4 linked regions of the Drosophila melanogaster genome follow. The protein of the gene in region 1 interacts with the protein of each later gene in a pairwise test. Each region holds a gene or a part of one and is shown in the gene's direction. Other genes may lie near its edges. The genes, in order: CG31999, Cpr64Ad, RpL32 and zld.

Region 1 (8,556 bases):
AATATCTCGAGAAAATACTGTAACATGAATATACATATATCCATTGATGTTCGATATTTCTTTATAGATAGTAATATTCTCTTTTAGAGATGTTATATTAAGTACACCCAAAATCAAACCACTTTCAGAGGAAACTAATGACGATAACACGAACTTGAAGATACAATAGAAGAAAGAACACGCTCCCTACCTGTTACTTCTTACAATTGGATATAACCTTTCACAGTACGACTAAAAAATATAAATATATTACAAACAATTGTATACACGTTTGAATTTGAACCCTAATATTCATTCGTTGAAAACTAGAATGGCGGAGGGAAGAACTGCTGACCCATAAAGAATATACTTCGAATATTCGAGCAGAATCGCAAGCCAAGTTGATCTAGCAATGTACGTCCATTTTAATTTCGTGATCTTTAAAATTTTAAAAGCTAGAAAGCTAATTTTAGATACGTATGTTCTTAAAAGTCCGATCTTATGCCAATTTGGAACTCGTACACGTTTAAAAACTGTTATTCTTTTAGTCAATTTAGTTAATTGCTTGGACACAACAAAGCGCAAAAATCTGTTAGACCCAAACCTTCAAAAAAGGTACTAGAGTATCATTTGTAACGGACGCAAATACCAAGGTTGTTCAAAAATTTACAACATTTTGTTGTGTAATTGTTTATTTACCATAGTTTTCAAAAACACTGTCCTTCTTCTATCAACACAAAAGCTGACTTTGATGTATTAATATAACTATTATCCGGATTGCAAACACTATTGCGAATAATCTTATTTACATTCGCCTTTAAAATTCGAAAATTTACTTCTCCATAATCTAGATTGCTGTATAGAAAAATTGGTAGTCGGTTACTTATAAGCCATACATTTTGATCTTTTTCTTTGTCTACTTTTAAATCATTTGGAAATTGAATAAGATTTGAGTTTTCCATATTATGAAATTTTCCCAAATGTGCTCGAGTGTATGGTTTCGATGTATCCCAGCATCCAATATCATCTTGATGAACTTGTGTAAAAAACATAATGCCATTCCTTGTAACTCCTGATGTAGATGATTGAGAATTATATCCGCGGTCTCCAATTGGTATGAAGTACTTGGCGTACTCTTGAGTATTCGTTTGCCACACAGATTCGTTTAACAAGATATTCATAGGCACCATGAACTCCTAAATGAGAAAGTATTATAATCACAATTATTATTATTATTATATCAGTTACTCGTAGAGTATAAGGGATTGCTAGTTTGGTTAATAAAAATAAAACAGAAATAAGCCTTTTCGGACCCTACAAGCTGCAGATAATTAGCTTACTTAAGATTTAGATTTATTTAAGTACCTTAAGTAAGACTGATCAAGTAGTAAGCTGTAGGAGGGGTTTTTAAAAGTAAGTCGGCGAGCCATTATTTAGACAATAAAGACAATGTTAAGAAAGGCATTTTTTAAAATCAATATCAAATCAATTCCCAGCCATTTTCTTGTCTTTATTTATATACTCCTTATACTCACCTTGAAACTTGCCATTGGATGAAAATAAAGAACGCGTTCCATTATTTTCTTATTGTAATATATACTCATTCCAAAAACACCATCCAGCCATTGAAAATTTAATCCGTATACATTAAAATCCGAAGCAAAGGGATCCGGATAAAAGTTATAGTTGGTCACGCGCCAGCTGCGGTTTTTTGATAGGCTGTAAACAAGTAGACCAAATCTCCATACATCCGATACGATAGCATGCGCATCATCGCAATCTTCTCCAATATCCACAACAATATTGGAGTGCAACGAATCTTGCTTCACATGAGAAGCTTCCAAATTGTATCGAACAATCAGTTCGTCACTTTTAAGATCATACACAACAATTTTTGGTGGGCAGATCTGATTTAAGTTTATTGTAGCATTGACAATTCCAGAATCAATTAGCCAAATTCGATCACACCTATCTACAGCTGTTCGATAAACTGACATCAGTTTTGAGCAGTCAGGATTGTTTGGATTTCCATGAGCCTCCCAGTTTGGATACGGCTTTATTGCCGGGCTTGACTCTTTTGGAGGAAAGGGCAGTGTACCTAAGCTAGCAGGCACACCATTCTTCCAACGAGGAGTTGTCACAAACAGGCGGTTATTATGGACATCAATGCCTAAAGGTAAATTATTTTTTGGTACAAAGTCTCTGTAAATATTAATATATTATAATAATTAGACAGTAAATTCAGCGCAGTAGAATAACACATAAAGCCAGATTATGATAATCCTTTATGTAACAGTCTGTAACAGCCAGAAGGAAGCGTTTCTGACCATGTTCTATATGGTCATATACAATATTCTTTATAAGGATCAATAGCCAAGTCGAACTGGCCATGTACGTCGATCTTTATTTGCATTTGCATTTTCCCTAGCTGTGTAACGGGATTCTGATAGTCGGGGATCTCGACTATAGCATTAGAGATAATGCTAGGATTTATTCATCAATATTAAAGATATGGATGAGACGCACTGAATGATTCGAATGAAAAGAAAGTATTTATAAGAACTAGTCTCCTATAGTTTTCGAGATAAGATATTAATTTGTTAATTTTTTTTCGCATTCGCAGTTCCACGAGCTGATTAACGGATATCTGATAGTCGGGGATCTCGACTATTTGTGACATAAGAGCGTCAAATAGTTTATTTTTCGAATTTTCTTTTATACCTCTCACAATACAAGCATTTTAAATTTATTAAAGGCGTATTTTTTGATTTTTTTACTAGTACTACAATTTGTTATTAATATTAATACATTTTTCAAATTATCTCTTGATTTGTAAGAAACTGTTATAACCAAATTGTTTTGTTACCCATTTAAAATAGATTGTTGGCGTTGCACAAAAGTTGAGTATAGGAAATCCAAATATTTCCATTCATAAACGATCTCCAGTTGACTTTCACTCTGTAAGTTTTGCGAAAACGACTGCGAAGTATATTCATAGCCATCAAGTGTTTGGAAAACTGGTTGAACACTTAAGTTTCCATTTAAAGTCTTCGATAAAAAAACTAACTGTGTAATTATATTAAAGATAGTCATAGACTGCATCCTAGCTGAATATTAAATAAATAATTCTCAAAAATGTACTCTATGGAATCAATCGACCAGATCTACCAACGTTTAAAGACTGATTTAATGTATGTATGTTTAAAATATCTTTTACATGCTTGTTGATGCAGATCAGAGCTTTTTTGTAAGGTATTGTGACAACGCTTAAGCTTTGTTTTAAAGCTTTTTCAACTATGTAGGTATGTATCTATCTATGTGTTGTCTTGATCTCCACCAGCCGAAATTGTTTGAATTTGTTCTTTTGTTTCGCATTTCATTCAAACGTGTAGCCTTAATTTCACTATCGGACCTGTCCCAAATTTTAATCGGTATTGAGTTTTACGAGTTTTTTCTAAACTAACCATGAGCAATATAATCCTCAGTATTAACAAAAATTTTAACTTTCATCAATTTTTTCAAATGGTTTTGATTGATCAAGAAAATTTGTATTATATTCAATATCTCAATCTATTTGCTGGCAAAAACAGCTATTATTTCAATTCCATCAAATGATTTATATAAATAAGTTTTAAAAAAATAAATAAATATTGTTTTAAAGAGTGTTGAATGAATTCAAATGTTGACATCAGATCCTTGCATGTAGATTGTTCGATCGTCACTTTTTTTCACATCTTTAAGAGTTGGTTTGGTTTGATGGGTAATAGGGGTAAATAGTCTGCGCCAAAAAAAAGTATATATATTTGTATGTATATATATTTACATATAAGCCACCATTTCCGACCCTATAAGTAAACACTTACATATATATGTATGTTGTTGATCTAGATTGCTAGCCGATTTTAAGCTCTTTGCCCCCGTCGGTCATCGTTTATCTGTGTATAGTTATTATAAAACGTAGGTATGTATGTATAATAAAATATAAAATATAATAAAAAATTCAAATTTTAAAGAGCGGACAAAACGACGGTCACAGTTAAGCAGGTATGGTTGTACCAAAGACACTAGAATAGTGTCTAGACACTAAAATAGTGTCTTTGGTTTTACCGAGATATACATACAGTTTGTCAAGAAACTGTTTGCACACTGTGAAATAAGTTGAATTTTTGGCTTTAATGGTAAAAATTAAGAGTTATTTGCTTAATTAAACGGAATTTTTTTATGAAATTTAATTAAACAATATTTATTATACTAATAAATCAAAAAACAAATTAAAATATTAAATATACAAGTCAAGAAACTCTACACATTTTGTTTTCGTACTTTGTCTTGTTTTTTTTCTTAGAACTAACTCGATTTTTCCGTGGTTTTTGGTTGGTTTGGTTTTTCCGTGGTTGGTTTTTGTATTGCATTTTTACGCTTCTATTGAAATTTTTTGACTTTGCTTGTGAAATTTTGCTGATCGAACGTGCTTAAAGTAAATTATTAAATTTGATAAAATGCCTGGAAAGAGATTAATTGTTTAAGTTACCCAATTAATAAACTATAACCACCAGTTGGGAAAATCTATTCCAGAATTAGTAGAAATGTTTTCTGTATCCCGTACGACCGTCTACAATGTTTTAAATCGCACGGAAAAAGAGGAGAGGCTTGAACCTAAGAGTCGGTTGGCGCACAACCAAAATTATCAAGCGCGTAGACCGCATTATTATACGAATAGTGATTGCGAACCCCCGAATCTCGGTCAGAGCACTTGCTCAGGATGCCAGAGAAGAATGTGACCAAATTGAATGAACATATGTATGTATGTATATTGATCATATCTTAAACGTTTTCTGCTACCTTTACCTAGTTTCAATAATTCACATTGCTCCAATTCACAAAACCTGGGATTAGCAAATAAAAGTGTGTTTAATAAGAAAATATAACAGCAGGTCGTCGAACAATAAACATATTTATGTACGTAAATACATGTAACGTATAGCGTAGGCTTATATACATACATATGTACATACATATGTCAACAGCTTGCTTTGGCCCACACGCGTTTCAGTCTTAAATCCTCTTCGTTCTAAAATTATATATTTGCTATACATACATACAAGCATATACAAACATGCATGTGTGCGCTGCTAAGTGACTGAGATAATTCCAGATAGCGTATGCACATGAGCGTTCTTTATTTTCTCATTCATTGCCTGACCTGTTCATTTAAAGCTCCCATCTTTATATTAATTTTATTTTTTACCCGGATTTGATTTCTGAACCCGTTATGTTTTATAAACTATGTGCTTTTATGTGTTTCTTGATAGTTGGAGGGCATGTCACCACCACAATGGCCAGTGGTAAGTAATGTGTAGTATACTTGCTTATATGTCAATAGATATGAATATTTATATATGTACCTGCCTACTGAAACCGCCCATTGTATATTTTGGGCAAATCTTTAAAATTGTATTAGGTTAGTTATAAAGTTATTAAGTTATAAAGTTATAAAGTTATAAAGTTATTAAGTTATTAAGTTATTAAGTTATTAAGTTATTAAGTTATTAAGTTATTAAGTTATTAAGTTATTAAGTTATTAAGTTATTAAGTTATTAAGTTATTAAGTTATTAAGTTATTAAGTTATTAAGTTATTAAGTTATTAAGTTATTAAGTTATTAAGTTATTAAGTTATTAAGTTATTAAGTTATTAAGTTATTAAGTTATTAAGTTATTAAGTTATTAAGTTATTAAGTTATTAAGTTATTAAGTTATTAAGTTATTAAGTTATTAAGTTATTAAGTTATTAAGTTATTAAGTTATTAAGTTATTAAGTTATTAAGTTATTAAGTTATTAAGTTATTAAGTTATTAAGTTATTAAGTTATTAAGTTATTAAGTTATAAAGTTATAAAGTTATAAAGTTATAAAGTTATAAAGTTATTAAGTTATAAAGTTATTAAGTTATTAAGTTATTAAGTTATTAAGTTATTAAGTTATAAAGTTATAAAGTTATAAAGTTATAAAGTTATAAAGTTATTAAGTTATTAAGTTATTAAGTTATTAAGTTATTAAGTTATTAAGTTATTAAGTTATTAAGTTATTAAGTTATTAAGTTATTAAGTTATTAAGTTATTAAGTTATTAAGTTATTAAGTTATTAAGTTATTAAGTTATTAAGTTATTAAGTTATTAAGTTATTAAGTTATTAAGTTATTAAGTTATTAAGTTATTAAGTTATTAAGTTATTAAGTTATTAAGTTATTAAGTTATTAAGTTATTAAGTTATTAAGTTATTAAGTTATTAAGTTGTTAAGTTATTAAGTTATTAAGTTATTAAGTTATTAAGTTATTAAGTTATTAAGTTATTAAGTTATTAAGTTATTAAGTTATTAAGTTATTAAGTTATTAAGTTATTAAGTTATTAAGTTATTAAGTTATTAAGTTATTATGTTATAAGGCTTTAAAATTATTACCACACTAAGGTATTTAGATTTCGGATATGAAATTGATAAATGACGAAAAAGAATGCTAGCCTCGGGCAAGGGACATCACCATATGGACTCATGTGTTGATACTGACTAAGAATACTTATAGAGTTGAAACCTTTTGATTTTTACCAATATATACTCTGGCTTAAAATATCCTGTGATCAAGCGAAAGTGAAAGTTTTATTTTGTTTTAAGACAGCATATCGGGTTATATACGAAAATGCTGTATAAATGGACTTCGACATGCTCGTACGACCGCCTCTTGCAAAAAAATCGACATAGCCCCAACAATAATCCCGCAGCTCTGGCTTGGACTTTGTCATTCTACACTTGAAGTCTGCTGTTCTCGAGAACTGGACCATCAAGATTGCGAGCTAGGTCGACTGGCTGCTTTAGACGGTACTCGCTGTGACGGAGAAGGAAATGTAACATCTAGCTCCTATGCGACATGTTGTCGTTCTTGTCAAATCGGATTAGCAGTTAAAGCGAGTAAAGCCAATTGCAAAGATCCATTATTTTCATTTATTTTCTTAATTGAATCATACCGAGCGTGCTGTTACGGATCTGCTGACTTTAAAGACCAGCCCGGTATCGACGAAATCGATAAGGCTAATTCTATTACTGATGAAGGTGAATTGCCGTTTGTTTCTGAAGAGGATATGAATGTAACTATTGTTCTTACCGGCGATGGTAAGTATATCTTATTTGTGTATCATTTGAAATCATAATTAATTGTACTCATTGGTAGATGACATATGTGGAAAAATTGAAAACCTTTGCGCTCACATATGCGAAAACACTTTCGACGCATACCAATGTAAGTGCCACCCCGGGTTTATGTTAGATAATAACAACGTAACATGCTCTCCGATGAAAACCCAAATATGTCCCAGCGGTTACAATTTAGATAAACTGGATAACAAATGCATTGACATTGATGAATGCCGGGAAGATCTTCATGACTGCAAATCATCCCAATATTGCCATAATACGAATGGCGGATACCACTGCTTAAATGTGAAAGAAAAAGAGTGTCCACCAGGATTTCATTATGACCATGATTACGATGCATGTAAAGGTAATTTTAAAAACTGTTTGAAATACAGATAAAACTAGATAGTCTAGACTAAACTGGACTATCAGTTTTACTCTGCTAGGATGGGTAATGGGATATTTTAAAATTAAAATTTATACAATAAACACATTCCATCCACAAATGTGCTGCCAATTTGGGCAGCTTTCGGCCGTGGGCGTGGCTTAAACTTTTTTGGCATATGTATTTAAAAGACTAACAATTAAATAACAAAAATGACAACGTTTCCTAAAAGTGTCGGGTGTTCCAGTTTTGGCGGTTTGCGGGCGTGAAATAAAGAGCACACCCCTGTAACATATTTTTCAATATGTCGTGTATGCCCTTTATCTCTGCGAGTACAGGTATAAGCTATGAATCGGTTCGGATATCTGAAAGTTTAAAAAACTTATATATAGCATTTTTAAATTGTATTATTTTAGTTTTTAATCAGTCTTAATCCGGTATCTGAAAATTAAAAATCCGATCTATAGCATTCCTTTAATCTTATTATTTTAGCTTTTTTAATTTGAAGTGCGTTCTATTCACTTAGATGATTACAAATGCAAAGATCGTAAATGCGTTAAAATTCAATCTTGTGATAAAGGATTCAGCTTGCATAACGGTACCTGTTCCGATATTGACGAGTGCTCACATAAATCATTAAACAACTGTCATGTCAATAGTAATCAGGAATGTGTTAACACAGTGGGAAGTTATTCCTGCAATTGCCTGCCTGGATTTAATTTGGATGCTACACTAAATAAGTGTGTTGGTAAGTACGTTTTTTCAGTAAAATAAGGATTGTTATTTATTTTGACTTCCATAGATATAAATGAATGTTCAATAAATAATCACAACTGCCTTCCAACTCAGAGATGTGATAACACGATCGGATCATATATATGCACGGTATATTAATCTGTATACAACATGTTGCTTTTGTTACAACCTGTATTCTATATAGCGCCTACAAAGCTGCGGAACAGGCTATACCTTAAATGCAGAAACGGGGAATTGTGACGGTAAGAGACCT
Region 2 (6,891 bases), on another chromosome or scaffold:
AATATCACTTCCAACCGATCAGTTCCATCGAACAACTAATAACAATTCATTCAATCTTTTTTTTTGTACCGAAACTTTTATTCAGTAAATGCAGTTACTAATTCACTAAGTGGCCGATAGCCGTTCCCCAGATCCCCAGAACGGTATCCCTAAACGTAGTCTATGGTGGCGATCCTTCGATCGGAGATTGGGAATGTGGGTCAACAGCGGGGTGGCAACAGCACGCACGTCCTTGTGTTTCGGGTTTTGACTGACAGAAAAGTGGGTAAATGCATTAGAACTATTTAACAACGGTCCTACAACTAGGCCATGGAGTTTGTCATCGCTTGGTCCACCGGTTCATCGCCTAGTGGTATCCACCCAGACTCAGACCAGGCGCCGAAGCGTATCCAATCTTGGTGATGGCGGGAACGGCGGCGACGGCAAGAGCTGGCTTGGCAATGGCCACCGCGGCCACGCCCTTCTTCTCCACGACCGCATTGAATCCGTTGACCTTGTCGGCGGTGTAGGTGACCTTGCGAATAGTGCCATCGGGTTCGGCCAGGGAGTAGCTGCCGTGGACGACTCCGTTGACCAGGGTCTCCTCCTGCTGCTTGGAGTCACCGGTGTGATGATCGGTTACTCCGTACGAGAAGCTGTACTGCGGATTGGGATCGTAGGGCTCGGCAACAGCCACCTTGGCCACAGCGACGGGGGCAGCCAGGACCTTGGGAGCATAGGAGATGGCAGGAGCGGCATACGAGATGGCAGGAGCCGCCAGGAGTTTGGGAGCAGCATAGGAAATGGCAGGAGCAGCAAGCAACTTGGGAGCCGCATAGGTGAGTCCAGGGGCCGAAAGTCCATAGGGATCAATGGGAATGGCCACAACGGCGGACAGGATCAGTCCCAAAACGAACAGAGTCTGGCGAGGAATTCCATGATCAGTTGAGCCAACTAAAAGCTGCACTCCTTTGGCCAACTCACCTGGGCAATCATGGCGAAGGATGTGAGAATGAGGGAGCTCTGGTTTGGATGTGTCTGCACTGCGAGAACTCAGCTCAAATGTGAGATGCATTTTCCGCGTGGTCTTCAGTTTTATATTCGAAACTGGCGGCAGCTGCCAGCGGAAAAAAAAACTGGACAATCTAATGGGCAGAGTGACAATTGCGTCTCATTTGGTGGCTGCCCGATCTCGATCTCGATCTTGCACCCCAGACCTCATCGCTGATGGCGGATTTCGTGTTTCTGGTGCGGATTTCATCATTGGTGCTGGCTTTTCTCAATGGAATAACTGCAGCCGCCGCTGCCGAGGCACACCACTCACCGAAGTCCATTTGAGTCCGTTCAAGAGCGCCGCTCCAAGATACCCAGCTAGTCAGCTACCAGCAACACCAGACTCGTTTTCCGCTGACTCGCTGGCCGATCTGGTTTCATTTTTTCGCCGTTTTTTGGCACATTCTCAGGTTCTCCAGCCAAAATTTGTCTGATGTAATAAGTGCCTCATATTGTGGCAGTTTCAGTTGCAGTTGCCACAAGAACAGTGACAGTGCTTTTTTAGCGATTGTAGGTACCCTTTCAAGAAAAATCTTTAATATCATCAAAGACCTAATGAAAATATGTATTTACTCTCAATTTTCTGAAAATGTATGAAACCAAGATTACAATTGGATATGTAAACACTCATTTGGCGAACATACTTCAATCAATATTTGAATATGTAATTGAAATGCCTGCTGTTAAGTTATGCCGATTATCACTCACACGCCATGTTGTCCAAACGCAAGCAAATTTCGCTTGGTTTGCGTGACGTGCGAGTAATCTTCATAGTAACATACATGTCCAATGTGCCCACCCAAAGTGCAGGGTATAAAAACAAGATCAATCGTTCGCAGCCACTCGTTTAATTAGAAAACGAAAATGGCAAGTTTCGACGGCTTGGTGGAGGGAATGGAATTGGGCGGGACGCAGGCGCAATTACGCACTGGCACACGCATTAACCCCTCGACGATCCGATTTCCACCTGACCAACTGGACCAGCGCCCACATTGCTGAGCCCGGTCACTTAGCCACCGTAATTGCCTCGATCGGGCCAAAAAGCATTTAGCCGGCATTTGGAAGCTCTAACCGCGGCGACCTTGCTCACAATTGGCAGCTAAGTGGCTGTGGTTAGTATTTCATCCACTTTTAATTAATTCTCATCTCAGAGCAGAGTCAAGCGATTGGGCAAGGAACTGCATAAATGGCAGTGGAGCATTCCATTCGCTTTGGCCAAATTGGACGACTGTATATCCATGCTGGTTTCCGGTGGCGACAATCTACGCCGACAACCGTTAGTCAGCTACCACAACCCGACGAGTAATACCACCATTTGGTGCCAACTTTTGGGGCTCTCTCCGCTTCTCCGGATCGCTCAGCGTCTCTCCGAGGTGAATCCGCAGCCAACGAGTCGCAAGGTCGTTGGTTGCATTTAGGAAAAGAGTCACGAACTCAAAACCAGCCACCAGTTACAGCACGAAATCGATGGGGAATCTTTAATCAACCATGGAGTTAGGCAAATTCCAAAAGACCAGAGATTCTTGTTGTTACTGAAGATATTTGTTAGGAAAGCATGTTAAATTTAAAATAAGATTTATCCTTTTCAGCAAAGTCGTTTAGGGGAGGAACTAAAAATCTCCTTATGGAAACATAAACCAAATGCATGGCCATTTATTAGAATAATATCAATATAATTGATGTATCAAATGTTGATAATCTTTCAATAGATTTACAATAGTAATATATGGGTATATAGTATATATATTAGTCTAATCGATATTACTGGGCCACATTGACCCAGTTTCACCTTGTTAAGTGAAACCGAACCCCTTGTGAAAACCCTTATTATGTATAAGTGGTAACTCATTAGCATAAGTAATTGATACCCAATAAGGTGTATAAGAAACTTTCCAATTTATTTGAGACAACCAATTCAAGTAGTACATCAAAATCAGGATCATTACACTCTAAAGATACTTTTTTATCCCAGAGATATATTAATATTAAGTTTTTGAGCTTGAACCCTTGTCAACTCGACGTCATTATGGTAACTTAATTATAAGTTTCGCGCTTTTGGTGTAAAGGAAAATTAAAAGCACTGTCATTGGATGGAACCTGCATGACAATTACCGAAAACTACTGCTCCGAAATATAATCAAATCGCATTCACTTTCGATCCGAACAAGGCAAAAACAGTGGCAAATAAAAATGAAAACTTGGTGTAGCCACCGCAAGACGACTGAAAATTGGAGTACGTGCTGCGAATTTGGATCAAAGCCCGAGACGCAGACGCAGCCAAATGCTGGGTAGGAAGAGGCGGCCCCAAAAAGCGGCGATGGTGATGATGCGGGGGGCAAGGAGCTCGGACAATGGGCTACCATACGCAATTGGTACGCAGTTCCCTCCACGGAGCACCGCATGCAAATTTCGCGAACGCATCTGGGTATAAAAGTCGTGGTTTTTTTGTCCAAGGTATGTCAGTTCATTTTCGATAACCGACGGTGACAATCGCACTAAACCCCCACCCAAGCCTTACAATGAATCCTCTGACGGTAAGTGTTGGTGATGGCTTCGGTGAACCCGTCAGGTCAGGAGACTAAACTGGACTCCATGCATTTTCCTCACAGGTTGTTGCAGTCCTTTCCTCGATGGCCCTCTCGGCTCAGGCTGGTCTGGTTGGCGCTCCTCTGGCCGCCGCTCCTCTGGGTGCTCCTCTGGCTTACTCCGCCCCTCTGGGACCTGCTCCATACTTCGCCCCGGCTGCGTACTCCGCCCCTCTGGGCTACGCGGCTCCTTTGGGATACAACGCCCCTCTGGTGGCGGGACCTGCTCCCCTGGTGTCCAAGACCTACGCTGCCGCTCCTTTCGCCGCTCCCTTCGCTGCTCCAGTTGCCCCAGTTGCTGCTCGCCTGGCTGCCCCAGTCGCCGCTCCTCTCGCTGCCCCAGTTGCTCCAGTAGCCGCTCCCCTGGCTGCTCCAGTTGCTGCTCCCCTGGCTGCTCCAGTTGCTGCTCCCATCGCCACCGAGATCGTGGATGCCCACCCACAGTACAAGTTCGCCTACGATGTCCAGGATACGCTAACCGGTGACTCCAAGACCCAGGAGGAGACTCGTGATGGTGATGTCGTCCGTGGATCCTACTCTCTGATCGAGCCCGATGGTTCCCGTCGTATTGTCAGCTACTACGCCGACTCCATCAACGGTTTCAACGCAGTGGTGCAGAAGGATGTGCCCGTGGCTGTTGCCCCAGTGGCTCCAGTTTTGGCCAAGACCGTGGCTGCTCCAGTGGCTCCAGTTGTGGCTGCTGCCCCCGCTCCAGTCTTCGCCAAGACCCTGGCCGCTCCCATCGTCGCCTAAGTAGAAGGAGGAGAAGTAGGAGTCGTAAAGGAAGTATTGACCGCAATTCGACAAAGGACTTTCATCTGTACATATTCGATTAATCATTGTCGAGCTATTGAATAACTTTCATCGCAAAAACCCAAAATTAAAGAAATTCTGAAAACAAAAGATTGTAGTTTATTGTTTAAAGGCATCCTGGATTACGAGAGTGATATCATATAGAGGCTTAAGAAAATTATTTAAGTATTTTAGCTTTAATATTTATAGGTAATATTTATATGTATCATTCTTTATATTTTAAGGATTACACTTAAAACTTGGTGTTCTTTTTAGGGAAGTGGATGAAGAGTTCTGGAAGCTTTCGCAACATGAGAACGTGGCCAGGATGCGTCTGAAATTGGAGCCTCAGTTATATCCAAATAAACACGAGAATGCCGCCAATCTGCGCGACAATGCGACCAGTGCCTACGACACCAAGTAAGCCCAGCCAGTCCTTAGTAGTGTCCTTCATAATCTGATTTTCAATATCCTTTATCTTAGGGAAATCTCTGAATTTGACTCCACCATCAAGAATGCCGTGGTGCGCGATTTCCTGGCGGATGACGAAAGTTCCCAGCTGGAGGAGGAACTACGTCAACTGATCGACACGCAAGCGCAACAGGATGTGGCGCTGGAGAAGCTAGTCATGTCACAGGACTGTGAGCTGATCACGCTGATGACCAAGGTGAAGGGACGCATTGAGGTTAACCAGAGCGTGTTCACCTTTGTGGACTTGAGCCCGCCAACAGAGGATGGTTCCAAATACGATTTCAGGTTCTCCACCAACAAGATACGTGAGGTTCATCTGCGAAAGTACAATCTGCGCAGGAGTGCTTTGGAAATCTTCCTGGTGGATCAGACTAGCTACTTCCTCAACTTTACGACGAAGGTGAGTTTTTTTTTTGTAAATAAAATGTGATCATTGCAAATGTTCTTATTTCTTTAAGACTCGAAATAAAGTTTTCACAAAAATCGTGGGTCTACCGCTTCCAAACATACTCTACGGCTCGGGAAGATCGCCGGCTGAGCTGCTTAGGGCCTCGGGACTCACACAGAGATGGATCAATCGTGAGATTTCCAACTTTGAATACTTGATGTACCTAAACACAATCGCAGGTAAGCAAATAACATCTGATTATTACATACATTTTTATCAAACTAACGTATTTTACATAACTAGGTCGATCCTACAATGATCTAAGCCAATACCCCGTCTTCCCCTGGATCCTTGCTGATTACACCAGTGACGTGCTGGATCTTACCGATCCAAAATCGTTCCGTGACCTATCCAAACCCATTGGATGCGTAAGTATTACTGAAAATAGAAAAAGGTGATCAGTTACATGACAAACGCATTTCTACCGCAGATAAATCCTAAAAACGAGGCCGAAGTGCGCGGCAAATATGATTCATTCGAGGACCCCTCTGGTGCCATACCAAAGTTTCACTACGGAACCCACTACTCCAACTCGGCCGGCGTGCTCCACTATTTGCTTCGCGTCGAACCGTTCACCTCGCTGCACATTGATCTGCAGAGCGGTCGTTTCGATGTGGCCGATCGACAATTCCACTCGATACCTCAGACGTGGAAGTTGCTAATGGACAATCCCAATGACGTGAAGGAGCTGATCCCCGAGTTCTTTTACTTCCCAGAATTCCTTAAGAACATGAATAAGTAATGCATGTGGTTTTTTACTTTTACTTAGTTAGCCTAATGTTATTTTATGTGCAGATTTGATTTGGGCCACTTACAAATAACCAAAGAAAAGGTGGACGATGTCATATTGCCTGCTTGGGCTACCACGCCGGAGGAGTTCATAGCCATACACCGACGGGCTTTGGAATCGGAGTATGTCAGTCAGCATCTGCACCACTGGATTGATCTGATCTTTGGGTATAAGCAAAAGGGACCCAAGGCAGCTGAGGCTCTAAACGTTTTCTATTATTGCTCCTATGAAGGCGCTGTGGATTTGGACAAGATCACCAACCCTGTAGAACGGGAGGCGGTTGAAGGTGGCTTACACCAAGACTTTTTTTTTTGCTATTTTTATTGACATCCATTCATTTATATTAGGAATGATTAATAACTTTGGCCAAGTGCCTTCACAGCTGCTGCGGGAGCCACATCCACGACGCCTTACTCAGGATGAGACGGCTCTAAAGCTGGTACGTGCTGAGCTCCGAAGGCCGGATCTTACTCAGTTCCTGGACAAGGTGGTGCAGTACTACTGCGAGCTGTCCACGCCCAAGGATCCCATTGTGTACCTGAGTCCACCGCGAAGTCCTCCGCGATCGTTCCTGCAGCTGAGTCCCGATGTTCTAGTCAGCATATCGAAGTCCACCATATTGGGCTGCAATTCGTGGCTATCGTTTGATAAGGATCAGGGATTCCTGCTGGAAATCGATGCCACAACGGCTAATCTAAAGTATGTTTAAAGATTTAGCAAATCGGTCATATTAATGTACATATCTTTAAAGGAACCGCAAGCGGATCTTTGGA
Region 3 (6,825 bases), on another chromosome or scaffold:
TAGCTATGTAAATTTAACGCATTGCATAAGCTTTCTTTTGTTCGGAAAAAGAATGAGAACTCACCAGTATTCCCTCTTTGATTCCTTGCAGTCAGCTGAGTGCATCCACGCTAGAGGATCACACGCCGTTTCCCGGTCTGTCCCGCATCACTCCATCGCTGATCCTTTGCGGTGCCGCGGCGGTGGTGCCCGCCTACATGGACAAACTGGGCGTGAGCTGCGTCATCAACGTGGCGCCCGAGCTGCCGGACACACCACTGCCCAGCCAGAAGAACCCGCTCTATCTCCGCATCATGGCCCAGGATCGCTCCGAGGTGGACTTGGCCAAGCATTTTGACGAGGCGGCCGATCTGATCGAGGAGGTGCATCTCTCCGGCGGCTGCACGTTGATCCACTGCGTGGCCGGCGTCAGCCGCTCGGCCAGCCTGTGCCTGGCCTATCTAATGAAGCACGCCGGGATGAGCTTGCGCGAGGCCTACAAGCATGTGCAGGCCATACGTCCGCAGGTTCGCCCGAACTCCGGATTCTTCCAGCAGCTGCGACGGTACGAGCAACAGCTGCGGGGCAGCAGCTCGGTGGCCATGGTGTACTTCGCCTCGCTGGACAAGGAGATCCCCGACATACTGGAGCCCGAGTACAGGGCCATGGAGGACTTCTACCAGCGCTACCGCAGCTCCCTCAAGAGGCGATAGGCCCGTTGTGCCGCAATTAATCTTACTTGTGATACTCGTACCCTACCACTAGCCTTAGATTAGATGTTTAAGTTGTGTGTGCTTAATGATAATGAAATGAAATGCTGAAACTTACATAAGATGTACGCTTAAGCCTCGTTCGTAATTACAAATACACTTTTATTTTCGTTTAAGAACATTGAATCTACCGCGTTAATTAATCAGTTGTAGTATCTTCAATCAATCACAAAGTTATTGGCGAACACAAACAACACACTCGTATTATATCGCACATCATCTAGTATTATTTACACGTACACGAAAAGTAGCTAACTAAACCGTAACTCGAAGATTGGGTACCTTTAAATGCTCACGTTGTATTGTACTTGGCATCCGCGAGGCGAATTGAATAGATCTACAGGTATACAGATATACAGATATGAGTAGGAGGAGCAGGCGACCTCCGCTTGGGATGCGTGTATGTACATTAACACCTAGAATTCAGCATCTGTGCACAAGCGACTTAGGCGAGACTTAAATCGAACGAAATAATTGGCTAGCTAAAGGCAGAAGTAACCGTTTGTGTACAATCAGCTAAGTTAACTCTAGTTCTACTCAGAGGCCAGTGGCAACGGCGGCTGCTGCTGCATTAGTTTCTTTAGGTTTTCGTACGCCGTATTCATGATGCCCCAGCTGATGAAGGAGCGGCCTGTGTTGAAGGGGCATCCGCGATAGAAGTTGCCAATGCGGCGATCGCGCTCTACGTAAATTCGCTTGCACGCCTGCCAGCTGCCCTCAGACCTCTGGCCCATCTCACTCTGCAGCGACACCTTGATCACATTGAGCGGGTAGAATATTGTGCTTATGCTCGCACCGATCACGGCGCCCGCTATGAACTCCTGCACTGTTCGAGTGGATACGGATTTCTGTGGATGGGCAACGGATTGGTTAGTATCTTAGTAGGTTCGTATGTGTGATAGGGTCAACACTCACTCTCTTAGGCAGCCGGACGCTGGCCTCTTCTCGCAGTACGAAAAATAACGCGTTGGACAGGCCGTTGCGCCAAAATACTGGTTCGAGTCCCCTGTAGAGCTCCCGGTAGCCGTGGTGGGAAACCACATACCTGTGGAATGATTAAAAGCCATAAGAAGATCCCATTAGCAAACTTAAAGATCCGTCAGCTCACCTGAATGCGTTTTGTGTGTTGGAGAAGTGCTGGTGGAACTTGGAGTCCGCGAGGAGGGTTTGCACCCGTTCGAAGGGCAGGAGGATGGACTCGGCGCTGCCGGCCACCACGGCCGCTAGCACCTTGGCCCCGTAGTCGTTCAGGCGGTAGTCCTCCACGAGGTACCTCCTCGTCCCGTCGAACACACCGAACATGATGGACAGGGATATGGTCTTCTGGGCGAGCGGCGGCAGCATGCCGCGGTACAGGAAGCCCAGTCCCTCGTGACGCAGCTGTGCAAAGGCCGAGGTGATGGGCACGCCGTGCAGCATCTGACGGAAGATCATCTTGTAGATGGGATAGGTGACCGCGATGTTGACGAAGGCTGCTCCGCAGCCGCAGGCGAACTCCTCCCACTGAAAGGAGCCGAAGAAGCGCTTCGAGAAGACGCTGCCATGCAGCAGTTTCCCCGCCTCCCCGTCTCCATGTGGGCTGTGTGCTCTTCCGGATGGAAACCTTTTAGGGGGCGGTGGGTCGGTGGTTTTCGCGACGTTTGGTGCTCCATCGTCTTTCATCTTGCTGCTGTCCTGTGTTTATTTCGGGCGTGTGGAGAAGTGCGCATTTGTCACCGCGTTACCATTGTAACTATTCAAACACGGGGATTGCGCTGGTTTGGTTTGTTTTGGTTTCGATTCGCATCGGTTTTAATTATATAATAATGAAGAAGAACCACGGTTTGACGGCCACGGCCAGTGTGACCGTCGCTGGACCTCTGCTGCATACCAAAGGACTCTGTTATCCAAATTGTTCACAAGCCAACCAAAATTAATTGTCGAACTTAAATTAGCAGCGGCGGCTTTGAGTTTTGTACTCGCCCTTTTCGGTAATTTACAAACTTAATATAACACCGTATAATTAAAATATTCTTAGCAGTGCGTTTAACAGCACTGTCACTTTATTTTGACCGAATCACCCTGTGTACTTGTTCCACTGACGCAAAGACCACCCTATGGATCAGAAACTTATCATGTGCTGGTATGCATTGGGTGCTCTAAATCCACGACTTGGATGCTTTTGTATTAGCCTCCTAAACCTCGGGAACACCTGCTCCTTGATCGCTTCTGTCAGCTTTTTACTTTTTCATTCCCAGCTTTCTTATCGTTTTTTATCAGATGACGGTGCTGCAAAACATCTATTGAACAGCTGTTGCATCCAGTGTGTAAATGAAATATGTTCACACTGCACAGTGGGTCAAGAGGCAAAGCATATTTAATTATATAACAAACTCCACCAAGCTGAAAATAGTTCCATATTTTGTTGCACATAGTTGCAATCGTCGCAGTTGCTCGGATAGTGATTAAACCTGCAACACCTTATTTGACGCGCCCAAGTTTAAATTCATTACACGATGATCCGCAATATATCGCTTGGCATCGCCATGAACGAAACTATCGGCGAATCATCGACGCACGACGTATCGATGTTTTTTCACACCACCAGCTTTTTCTTTTCGCTTCTGGTTTCCGGCAAGGTATGTGCGTGATTTTGGGCCCACGTGTATTTCCATTAATTTTAAGCCGTAATTGTCGTTTTTGGCGGTTTCGAGTTGAACTGCGTTAGTCCGTGCGCTGTTCGCAAGTGTGCGGCTCGTATTTCGACCGAATTCGGATCGATTCCTGTGAGAGTTCGCCAAATGGCTTCTGTTTGTGATGGGAATTCGTGGGGCGACACACCGGAAACTCAATGGATACTGCCCAAGAAGCTAGCCCAACCTGGTTGAATTATGCATTAGTGGGACACCTTGTGTGTTATTAGCTTGATAAGTGATATTTCCAGTGGGTCAGTGCACTAATGGCTACTTTTGTTGTGTCCTTCCAGCTTCAAGATGACCATCCGCCCAGCATACAGGCCCAAGATCGTGAAGAAGCGCACCAAGCACTTCATCCGCCACCAGTCGGATCGATATGCTAAGCTGTCGGTGAGTGCCAACGAGGATTGTGCCAAATTGTACCCGTGTTTAATCAACATGTCTCCTTGCAGCACAAATGGCGCAAGCCCAAGGGTATCGACAACAGAGTGCGTCGCCGCTTCAAGGGACAGTATCTGATGCCCAACATCGGTTACGGATCGAACAAGCGCACCCGCCACATGCTGCCCACCGGATTCAAGAAGTTCCTGGTGCACAACGTGCGCGAGCTGGAGGTCCTGCTCATGCAGAACCGCGTTTACTGCGGCGAGATCGCCCACGGCGTCTCCTCCAAGAAGCGCAAGGAGATTGTCGAGCGCGCCAAGCAGCTGTCGGTCCGCCTCACCAACCCCAACGGTCGCCTGCGTTCTCAAGAGAACGAGTAAGCTTAAGATTCTTGAGAGTTCTTGTAACGTGGTCGGAATACACATTTGTAAACGTTAATATACCGGACTTTTAGTTAAAAAATGATGTGCGAGTGCCGAGTTCAATTGTCATTTCTGAGATTGGGATAGCAGCACCATTGATAACATGTGCATTATCTGGATGGATATCAGTTAATCCAGACCATTGCGGTCTTTCTTTCTGATAGCAACTGCCTCGAGATATTAGACCAATATAAATTCCTTGACGTGCCAAAACTAGACAGCATCAATCCTTATCAGGGAATTTTGTTATATATTTTACATTTTTCCCCCTTAGTATTGAAAGAGGTTGTTTATATGAAATCATATATATATTCGCAATTATTTTTACAGAACAGTGTACAATTATTATCGGAAATGCTTCTGTCTAAATGAAACGCAGTAATTGAAATACCAGTAAATTATATTTTGTAGGAATCTACAATAATCAAGTACAAAGAGGAGGAAATACACTAGGGAAAGATAAACAATTACTTATTGTAGGCAATGTAGCTTATTTCAAGACCACGTCGTGATCAAATTGCAAGTGGTGTTCGAGCTCCTTCTTGTTCTCGAAGTTGGTATTGCAAATGAGACAGAAGCCGCTGTTCTCATCGTTGTCGGACATGATGACGGTGACGGCCGCCTCCGATTCGTCGACGTCCACATGCAGCTCCTCCACCACCTGCTGCTCGTCGGCGGGCGCCTCCTCGCGAACCCCGTAAACGACGTCGCCCTCGTGGGTCTTCATGTGCATCTTGAGGGTGTAGCGCTCGGTGAAGGACTTGGGGCAGACGGAGCAGTAGTGTCTTGGGCGGTTCTCCTTGTGAATGAGCGTGTGATGGTTGAAGGTCTTGCGCGACTTGAACGACACATTGCAGATGCTGCATATGATGGGGTTCTCCTCAGCCTCGTGGCGCAGCCGGTGGTTGTAGAGTAGGTTGTCCTGGGAGAACCTCAGGCCGCACTTCTCGCACTGGTACTTCTTCTTGTCCCAGTGCATGCGCATGTGGCGCAGGGTGTTCACCGGGCGCGAGAAGCTCTTGGGGCAGTAGCGGCATTGCTTTTCCGTCTTGCCCTCGTGCAGATTCATGTGCAGCTCCAAGTACTCCTCGTCGCGCCGGATCACCCCGCAGATGGGGCAGATGTGGTTGGGCTGCTTGGAGTGCTCCTCGCTGATGTGCTTCTGCAGTTGATACCAGGAGTTGTACACCTTGCCGCAGGTAGTGCACTCCTGCTTGACGCGCTTCTTCGTCGGCCTGTCCTCGCCATCGGAGGACTTGCCATACAGGGCCTCGGAGTCGCCCACATCCACGTCCTCGCAGATGAACTCGTCGTCGTCGTCGTCGTCCTCCTCCTCCTCCTCGTCCACGAACTCTCTCTTTATCTCCGTGTCGGACTCCTCCTGATCCTTGACCAGCTCCACGAACAGGGCGTCCGCCTCGGCATCGGCGTCTGTCTCGACATCGCTTTGGGGTATCTCCACCTCCTCCACGAGTATGTCCTCGCCGGACTCCGGCACCTCGAACTCGGACTTTAGAGCGCCCTTTAGCTGGGTCGTCAGCCTCTTCTGGGTGGTCATCAGGTTCACCATGATCGTGTCGTAGTCGGAGAGCTCCTGAAAGCAGCGCGGGCACAGCCGGGCGCCGGGCTTCAGGTCCAGCTGCGTCTGGATGCAGTTGGCCAGGTGGGTGAGCACCAGGGACACTGTTTTCTGCGACGACGGCACCTTGGCCGACAGCGTCTCGTAGCGCATGGAGCTGGAGGAGCCCGTGTCGCTCAGATCGACGGCGCCGCAGAAGAAGCAAGTATCCATTGCGCCGACGATGGTCCTTTTAGCGATTCCGTTTCGTGCGGCGTTTGTTTACAATCTTTTAAATTGTGTATGAAATTTAATAGAGTTGGCAAAATGATGAATATCGGAAGCTATACTAAAATGCGTGAAATGCAACCATGGCATAATGCCCACCAGGGCTGGCGAACGATGCCGATTGATGCCAGGAACGGAACGGTGGGAATGGAACAGGGTGTGAAAACTGAAATATATGAGTTGAATAATAAAAATATGTGTTTGCTCAATATTGCAAACGGATATTCAATTTGCATAAATACATAATTTGTTGTTGATTATTATGGTGGTGTTGGTTTCTTTAGTTATGAAAACGAGTAGCATTTAATTTATTGATTCCCTGAAAAAATTGAATTGAATTATATAATTTTTTTATAATGGTATGTTTTAATTGTATTTTATATAAATTATGCGAATGGCTTCAACTTAATGAAGTAATTACATAAGTGTAAAGAACACAATTGACTTAGGTAGCTAATTAGAATCTTTGTAAGGATATGTTTAATCTTAATTAAGCACTTCAAGCCAATGAAGTATTAAAAAAAATCTCATACAGATAAGCCCGCGTATTTAGAATATGGCTCGCCCCACTCAATCTAACCTAAGAATCTCAGTGATTTGGAAACTAATAAGATCGCTTTCGCTGTGTCCGGATTCAGCAAGTGAGTCCTGTGGCCCGAAAACTGAGCAATTTCCGGTTTGTTTTACAAAGGATCGATGCCGTTTGCCAAAGGATCGACTGCTCCGCACAAAAGTTCGGGTTGCACTTG
Region 4 (8,418 bases), on another chromosome or scaffold:
TATCTAACCCACTCCAAGGTTATGTGACAAGTGTCGCTTTCTGGTACTTCGTGGTTATTACATCCGATTACAGGGTATAATTAATTGCTACCATGTATCTGTATCTGCAGACCTGGAGGGGCAGATGACCTGCCTGGAAGTTCTGCAACTTTTGCCACTGCAGGTCAACTGTTGCGTGCCCATAAATGCGCCATAAAATGGGCTAATCCCATTGCAGTCGACTGCATCAGCTGCAACAGTTGCATCAGCTTTTGCAGCAATGCTCTCCCCTCCAGCCATTTTGCCACCTGCCACCGCAGGCAACATATGCTAACAATTTCTACATGTCCATAATTCTCTATAACATATGTACATATGTACATAAGTATGAACATATGCATATATAAGTTAATTACCGATTAGGGAATCAATGGAAATTGTGGGGTTTATCTCAATATTAAATTAATGATAATTAAGAAATGGTTAGTAGGCTTTTTTAACTAGGCTTAATACATTTTTTAATCACTAAATAAACTGTGCAATCAAAGAAATACAAAGAAAATGTACAGCAGATCGTCGAATAGTGACGATATACATAAGTGTATGAATGTATACTAAATATACTGAATAAAAATATATTTTTAACCAACAAATTGGTTTCATAGATATCTCCTAACGGAGTTTAACTATCCGTGAGATATGTACATACATATACATATGTGGAATATCAGATCTCGGGATTTGCAGCCGGTTTTCACTGCCAATCACTCAACTCGCCAATCGTTTTCTCCCTCCCTCGCATTGCCCCATCCTCCTCCTCCTCCTCCTTCTTCTTCGCCTTCTTCTCCACACTTCCACCCACATTCGTCGTCCGTCTCGCCCGCGTCTTCGTCTTCGTCGTTTGCTTTATTGTTTTATTGTCAGTTTAGGGATTTGACAATTTGCTTGCTGATTTTTTATGACAATCATGTATGTAAATTTCAGGCCTCTCTGTCGCACTCTTCTCCGCCGCCTCACTCTCGCCTTCTCTCGCTCCCTCCTCCGGCCCTACTCCAATCTAAACTCTTCCTCAAGGCCCCACGCACACAGCCGCACAGTGGAGTTCGTATCTGTGTGGCTGCGATGGAGGTACTCGTATCTGGGCTCCATTAGCCCTCGCCTTTTCTCTTACGAAATTTTTAAATACTTTTGGGCCATTCTCAGCTGAGCTTGATTCCCAGCTCCAGTTGCCCAGCAAAAAAAAAAAAAAAAAATAAAACCTAAAACAACTTGAAACCCCATAGTTACCAACAGATTCAAACCCTTTCTGTCGCTATTTATACCCCTTAATCGTAGATTGGAAAAAGCATACCCATTCGAAAGACGAAAGATCGCCTGCATCTTTGGAATATATATGTACATACATACTTATGCATACTTACTTACATGCTTAGTCTTCTTCTAGTCTTCTATTTAAAAAAGTTTCTCTAGTGAGCTTATGATCTTATGACAGAATCTGATAACAGGGTATCCGTTAGTCCTAGCTTACGATTTTTTCCTTTCTTTTTAAATGTAGATTAGCTTTCGTTGTCTCTCAGCTCTGCACTCCCGTATGCCCAACGCAATAAAAGTTTGGTTTATTAATTTTTTGAACGTTCTCAACTTTTACGAGGCCCGTGACGTCGATAATCGTCGGTTGCCGGTCGCTCAGAAACTAGGCTAGTAGTGCGAATTGGTTTTGGCCCGGTCCAGTGAGTCAACATCTGACTAAGACGCTTCGAGGAGTCTATTAATAAGCCGCCGTTCGTACCAAGGCTAAAAAAAAAAAAACGGGCACAACTGAGCAACCAAGCCTAGAACTGCAACACAGCTTTAAATTAGGCGAGTTGCGATATGGTAATCGGTGGATCACACAAAAGGGCCAACCAATCTTCGCTGTGTTCTTGAAAAATCCACATTATCGCCACTTAAGCTAAATTTTGCTATTACAATAGAGTACATAAACATTTATTTATATGGTAAGTTCTTCATAGCGTAGATGACTTCTACGAACTGCCAGAGTTTTAAGCTAGAGATCGGAATAAACATTTCGAAATCCAACCATCCTAAAGAAAACAATTTCATATAAAATTTTTAGTGCCTAGGGCGGCTTAAATATATGCAGTTCGCTGTATATATCCAGAAACGCAAATACAGCGAAATAATTTCATAAATAAACAGTGGAAAATCATTTTAACACGATCAAAGCTATTGATTTGCTGCTAGAAAGGCAATGCAGAAGTTGTGTATTATTACAAATACACTTTACAATTGCGATCCATCCAAATTCTACGGATTGTTAAGTGCAAAACCGGTTATCAATGACCTTACTTAAATTACTTTTTTATAACCGTTCAGCAATTTTCTGTGGAAAATTGTGATGGCTTGCAAAAAAGGATTCAAATTTGTGTGCATTATAAAACGTATGTATATATGTGTGCATTATAAAACATATGTATATATGTATATTAAACATCAGTTTTCACTAATAATGCCATTCAAGGCATAAAAATATAAGCATTCAAATTGCGACTAATCGTTTATGTACATGTCTTCGAGAGGATTTATTAGTTCGATCTAAACAGATTGCAAAACTTAGGTCTCAACTAATGCTAATTATGCATGGGATACTTTATCTTGATTCCGAGCTAACTTGTGGTACTCTCAATGCAAAGGGTATTGCAAAGTAAAGGCAGCGCAAAGCAAAGGCAAAACCAAAAGCAAAGCAAAATCAAATGCAGCGGCGTTGACGGCAGCCGTGCGCGACAGAGACAGCACGCACATAACCGAAACGCCGCCGCGCAGTGTATATAGCGCACACACACACACAGCCACGCATGTGCGTCGACTGCGACGCCGCAGCCACAGTCGCAGCCGGCGTCGCTGCCGGCAGAACGGGTAGAACGAATGTGCCGCATGCACGGCGGTGTATTTGTCGGTCATTTGTATTTGGAACGCCGTAGCAGACAGAAGGACACGGGTGAAAAAGCGACGAAGCGTGCGAACGGAGTGGAGCGGCTACTTTTAGCGCCCTTTTTTGTTTCATTTTCCCCACTCACAAAACGCAACATTTTTGGCAACAACTTTTCGGCAAACCAATTGAAAAACAAACTAAACGAACTAATCGCGGCTCGGGAATCAACAACAAATTTAATTCCGATGCAATACTTGTGTTCGTAAACAATTTTTTTCTGTTCGATCCGATCCCCGATAAACGATAAACGCGAATTCCAGTGATCTTTTGGAAAAGGGCGAAGCGAAAAGCGAACCCAAACCGAAAAACTCTAAATCACCGGTAAAAAAAAAAGTGGCGAGAGAGAGCAAGAAAGAGAGAGAGAGAGAGATAGGGAGAGTGTGATCACATCGCATCGCCATTCTCGCTTCCCTCGCAATTCGCAAAAACAAAATTCGAAATTCAAAATTGACCAGCATTCGTTGCGGTTCCGATATTGGTTTCTTCAGTTCAGTTCAGTTCAGTTTCGTATTATTTATCGAGTCTGCTGTTGTGTGTCTTTCGTTTCGCCGAAGAGGAGCGGTGAAAGAGAAGAAGGAGGAGGAGCGGAGCAGAAGAAGAAGGAGCGAAGCAGAAGTCCAAGTCCAACGAAGAAGTGCCCAAAGCGAGGCGCAGATAAGTAAGAAAAGCAAAAGAGAACGGAAAAGGGATCTTCATCGAGGATCCTTCATGTATATATTTTTTTCGAGTGTGTGTGTTAGTGTGCGTCGTGAGCGTCCATGTGTGCTCTCCACAAACAATTGCAGTTGACATTACGTTCGCAAGTAAAAGCTATTGTATTTCCACCATACAAATCAAATTACAAAAGTGCCTGCAATTTCGCATCGAAGTGAAATGGACACCAAGAACCGTTAGACACCAAAAGCTTTGAAAACACAGTGTGCATGTGTTTGTTTTTTTTCCGTTTGCAACTCAAGTAACTTCAAACTAATAATGGCTTAAACAATAATTGGCTTATTTTCAGTACAAATACAAAGCACAAAAAAACAAAAAATCACAAAAAAATAAAACGAAACGAGAGCATATAACATAAAAACCCAAAACAAAAACGATCGGCTCAGCAGAGCCAACGAAAAGCAAGCAGCGTAGCAGCAGGAGCAGAGGATGCACCACTGATCCCGGAGAGCTCGAGACATGAGAAGCGAAACACCGAGCAGCCACCAAGCATCGACTTATGTAGCGGTCCATGACGAGCATTAAGACCGAGATGCCGCCCCTGCACGCGGCAGAGGCGCTCGCCTCCAGCAGTGCTACAGACAGTGGTGGGGGAGGAGCAGGAGGAGGAGGAGGAGGAGGTGGAGGAGGATCGGGCGGACCAGGAGCGGGAGGAACGGGAGGCGTAGGCAGTGCGCCCGCCACACCCAATGCCACAATTAGCGCCGCCGCCGACTCCAGTGATAATCAACCCGGCACGCCGCAGCCCACGCAACAGCAGCAATCGACGCAGCAACAGTTGCAGCAGCCACAATCGCAACAGCAGCAGCAGCAGGCCATGGGTGGAGGAGATCCCCAGCAGCAGCAACAGCAGCAGCAGGTAACGGGTATCACCCACCAGCCGTACGCCACCCACCACATGTACTCCGCATCTGGCGGACAGCAGCAACAACAGCAGCAGATCTACGGCGGACTCTACGGCGGGGACATGCAGCAGCAGCAGGGTTACGCCAGCAGCTACATCAACAGCTACGAGCAGTTCTACCAGCAGCAACAGCAGCAGCAGCAGGGCACTGATTACGCCTTTGGCACCGTGGGCGTTGACTATGGCAAGAGCGCCGGTGTTCGCTATCATCCCTACCTGCAGACGCCAACCTCCGGACTGGGAGGCATTCCAACGGCCAGCTCGGCACAGGAGGAGGCGGGCAGTGCGCCCAGCGCGGTCAGCACCACCACAGCGGTGGCCATGAGTCCGCGTGTGGTTAGCAGCAGCAGTCCAACGTCGACGTCCTCGCACCTGCAGCTGGGCAGCTCCAGTGGCCAGACACCAGGCTCACCAGGCGGAGCCGCCGGAAGTGCCGGATGCAAGTTGCAGTGCAAGAAGTGCGGCATCCTCACCACCAACGAGTCGGAGCTACAGGAGCACATCGCCAACGTGCACGGAGAGTCGCCGTACGGCAGCAGCGGTTACGCCAGTTCACCGTACATCAAGGAGGAGATGCCCACACCACAGCCACCCGGCGTTGGATCCGCAACGGCCAATCCCGGCGAATTACTCGACCTAGATTCCCAGAAGATGGTCTATCACCAGCAGCTGCTCCAGCAGCAACAACAGCAACACGACGTGGTCGCTGGACTGCCGCTGGGCGCTCTGCCGGATCCGCTGCACTCGATGCAATCTATGCAGCAGCGCGCACTCCACAGCTGGGAGCAGCAGCCACAGCAGACGGTGGCCTCCGTGGAGGGCCTGCCACCCTACATGCAGCAGGGATTGGGCGTGGGGCTGGGAGTCGGTGTGGACAAGTCGCCCTACTACTCACCAAAGCAGTCACCCTATCATCAGTCAACCGGCGTTGGCGGAGCCACGCTGATCAAGCAGGAGTACGGCGGCCACGGACTGATCAAGTCCGAGTATCCCGATTCGCAGCATTACGTGGACAAGTCCTTCGATCCCACAGCTGGCGGAGCTGGTGGCGCGGAACTGTGCGCCAGCGTGGCCACCAGTCCGGCGGAGTTCCCCAGCACCACTACGGGCGGACCAGGGCAGGAGGGAGCGGCGGGTGCGGCGCCAGGAGGTGGATACCGCGGTTTCGAGCCACCCAGCTCGAGCTCCGTGCTGCCGGCCAACAGCCTGACGGCCAAGGCGGCCACCTGGAAGTCGAACGAGGCGCGCCGTCCGAAAACGTACAACTGCACGGCCTGCAACAAGTGGTTCACCAGCTCGGGCCATCTTAAGCGCCACTACAATACGACGCTGCACAAGAATGCGGTTAAGTCGAGCGGCCAGCCGGATCCAGCCACCCTGCCCATCTCGGCGCACCACCATCCCGCCCGCGACCCGGTGACGAAGCCCAGTCGCAGGGGCAATGCCGCAGCCGCTGCGGCCGCCGCTGCAGCTGCCGCCTCGGCCAGCGGTCAGGGTCAGCAGCAACAGCCGCCGATACCGCCGCCGCCGGCCAATGTGCCACCCCCGGAGCCGCCTAGAAGTCCGCCCGATTATGGCGGAGGAGGCGGCTTGGGCGTGGGAGCGATGGGCGGCGCTGCCATGTCCCAGTACTCGGCCTCACCCTCGCCCACACAGCAGCAGCAGCACCACCTCAACCACCATCAGCAGCAGGCCAACGGCTATGCTAATGGCACCGCCAACGGCTATGGCTACATGCAGCAACAAGTGCAATCCACGACAAACGCTTCACCACAGCACGCTTCCAACAACAACAGCAACAACCAGCAGCAGCAGCAACAACAGCAGCAGCACCATCAGCAGCAGATGCCGCAGCACCACAACTCCGTTTTGAACGGTCACCCAAACGGGCTAGCAGGTCCCTCCGCCCCACACAACAACAACACCACCCAAATGCCGTCCTCCCAAATGAGGGGCCTGCTGAACGAAACAACAACCACGCCGCCACCAACAACAACAACCCGAGCACCACAAATCACAACAACAGCAACAACAACAACAACGGCGGCCACCACGGTAGCTATAAAGAGCGAGCAAATGGAGGACAGCAACCACACTCACACCCACACACACACGCATCCCAATCACAGTCACAGCCAGGACAGGAGCCACAGCAGCAGCAGCAGCAGCTCAATGGCCACGGAGGAGGCGGAGGAGCAGGAGCTGCGGGATCAGGAGCAGGCGGACGATCACCTGCATCAGCATCAACAGGCGTCGCAGCAGTATCTGCTGTCGGCGCGTCATTACCACAGCAGCACGCCCAACACGCTCAGCAGCAGCAACACCAATCCCAGCACGCCCAGCAGCAACTCGCCCCATACTATCTACCGGCAGGAGCAGCAGGGAACGGATTTCTCGCGCACCACCCCGCCGCCGCAGCCGCTGCCGCCTATGGGAATGCTGCCGCCTATGGCAATGGACTACAACATGCTGGCTTTGGATATGCCCATGCCCATGCCCACGCTCATGCACAGCAATATGCTGCAGTGCAGCAGCACCAGCACCACGCCGCTAGCTACTACCATCACCACCAGTATGCCGGACACTATGCAGCCGCCGCAGCAGCAGCTGGTGCACCACTACCAGGCGGTGCTCCACCCGCTCCATCAGCAGCTGGGGGAGCAGCACCAGCGCCAGGAGGCGGATCATCATCAGCAGCAGCGGGAGCTTCACCAACTGGATCAGCAGCAGCAGCAGCAGCAGGCGTTAATCCTGGCGGACAGTTTGCCGCACAGCAGCAGTTCGCCCACCAGCAGCTCCCCACCGCCCACCATGCCCATGCCGCTCACCACCATCACAGCGCCGCAGCTGCTGCCGCTGCAGCCGCCGCCGCCGCACATCACCAGCACCATGCCCATGCCGCCCACCATGCACATGCCCATCATGCCGCCGCCGCCGCAATGCTACCAGCAGCTGCAGCCGCTGGACCCCACAATGAGCTATCACACTATTATTGGTAGTGGCCCGGAGGCGCATACCGGAACGGCCGGCGGTGGCTATAGCAATCAGATCACCACCAGCGATGGCCAGATCCTGCAGCTGATGCCAACATCCCTGTTCGCGCCATATGCACCGCTCTCGCCGTACTCGGTGGCCGCCCAGCGATCGCCGCAGGAGGGCGATCTGCCGCCGGTTCACACACTCACGACGGCCCTGCATGCCCATCAGCAGGGCGGGCAGCAGGAGGCGCAGACGCCAACGCTGACTGTGCTCTCCACGCCCTACTCGCCCACAGTGAGCAGCTCGCGGGCGACTCCCGCACTGGAGATGGATATGGCCACGCTGATGCAGCACCATCAGGACTATGAGATGGAGCAGTACCAGATGCAGCACCAGCAGTTGGATCAGATGCAGCAGCACCAGCAGCAACTGGACCACCAGCAGCAGCAACAGATCCTGGCGGATCAGACCCAGACGATGGCCCAACAGCCGCTGGCCAAGAAGCGGCGTGGCGGCAACGCAACACCATCGACGACGAAGCGACGGCGGAACAGCAGCGTCGGATCGACGTCGCCGCACTCGACCACCCTGCCATCGGGACGGATCAAGTGTCTGGAGTGCGACAAGGAGTTCACCAAGAACTGCTACCTCACGCAGCACAACAAGAGCTTCCACTCCGGTGAGTACCCATTTCGCTGCCAGAAGTGCGGCAAGCGCTTTCAGAGCGAGGATGTCTACACCACGCACCTGGGTCGCCACCGCACCCAGGACAAGCCGCATAAGTGCGAGCTGTGCCCCAAGCAGTTCCATCACAAGACGGATCTGCGCCGACACGTGGAGGCCATCCATA

What was found.
Region 2: the proteins of CG31999 (region 1) and Cpr64Ad interact in a two-hybrid assay, tested with the Drosophila melanogaster proteins (one large-scale study listed by BioGRID).
Region 3: the proteins of CG31999 (region 1) and RpL32 interact in a two-hybrid assay, tested with the Drosophila melanogaster proteins (one large-scale study listed by BioGRID).
Region 4: the proteins of CG31999 (region 1) and zld interact in a two-hybrid assay, tested with the Drosophila melanogaster proteins (one large-scale study listed by BioGRID).

Annotation. Positions count from the first base shown.
Region 1 is NC_004353.4:222,530-231,085, reverse strand, and holds the start of CG31999 (uncharacterized protein), read left to right. Parts: upstream 1-3,337; 5' UTR 3,338-3,410; intron 3,411-4,535; 5' UTR 4,536-5,251; coding exon 5,252-5,324; intron 5,325-6,646; coding exon 6,647-7,141; intron 7,142-7,199; coding exon 7,200-7,529; intron 7,530-8,073; coding exon 8,074-8,295; intron 8,296-8,349; coding exon 8,350-8,432; intron 8,433-8,487; coding exon 8,488-8,545; intron 8,546-8,556. Other genes in the region: yellow-h, read right to left, coding at 687-1,175, 1,515-2,181, 2,846-3,081.
Region 2 is NT_037436.4:4,211,899-4,218,789, forward strand, and holds Cpr64Ad (cuticular protein 64Ad), read left to right. Parts: upstream 1-3,480; 5' UTR 3,481-3,551; coding exon 3,552-3,566; intron 3,567-3,641; coding exon 3,642-4,370; 3' UTR 4,371-4,516; downstream 4,517-6,891. Other genes in the region: CG43367 (uncharacterized protein), read left to right, coding at 4,686-4,829, 4,893-5,280, 5,339-5,507, 5,572-5,696, 5,759-6,066, 6,124-6,404, 6,466-6,817, 6,870-6,891; Cpr64Ac (cuticular protein 64Ac), read right to left, coding at 347-901, 964-975.
Region 3 is NT_033777.3:30,042,676-30,049,500, reverse strand, and holds RpL32 (ribosomal protein L32), read left to right. Parts: upstream 1-3,360; 5' UTR 3,361-3,579; coding exon 3,580-3,611; exon of another isoform or gene 3,612-3,639; intron 3,640-3,714; coding exon 3,715-3,814; intron 3,815-3,876; coding exon 3,877-4,188; 3' UTR 4,189-4,272; downstream 4,273-6,825. Other genes in the region: CG15528 (uncharacterized protein), read left to right, coding at 92-692; CG7943 (uncharacterized protein), read right to left, coding at 1,283-1,597, 1,665-1,794, 1,858-2,411; Sry-delta (serendipity delta), read right to left, coding at 4,721-6,022; Sry-alpha (serendipity alpha), read right to left, coding at 6,647-6,825.
Region 4 is NC_004354.4:19,778,065-19,786,482, reverse strand, and holds the start of zld (zelda), read left to right. Parts: upstream 1-2,934; 5' UTR 2,935-3,629; exon of another isoform or gene 3,630-3,974; 5' UTR 3,975-4,196; coding exon 4,197-8,418. UniProt on the Drosophila melanogaster protein: Transcription factor required for zygotic genome activation (ZGA), a critical event in early embryonic development during which the developmental control passes from maternally provided mRNAs to the expression of the zygotic genome after fertilization.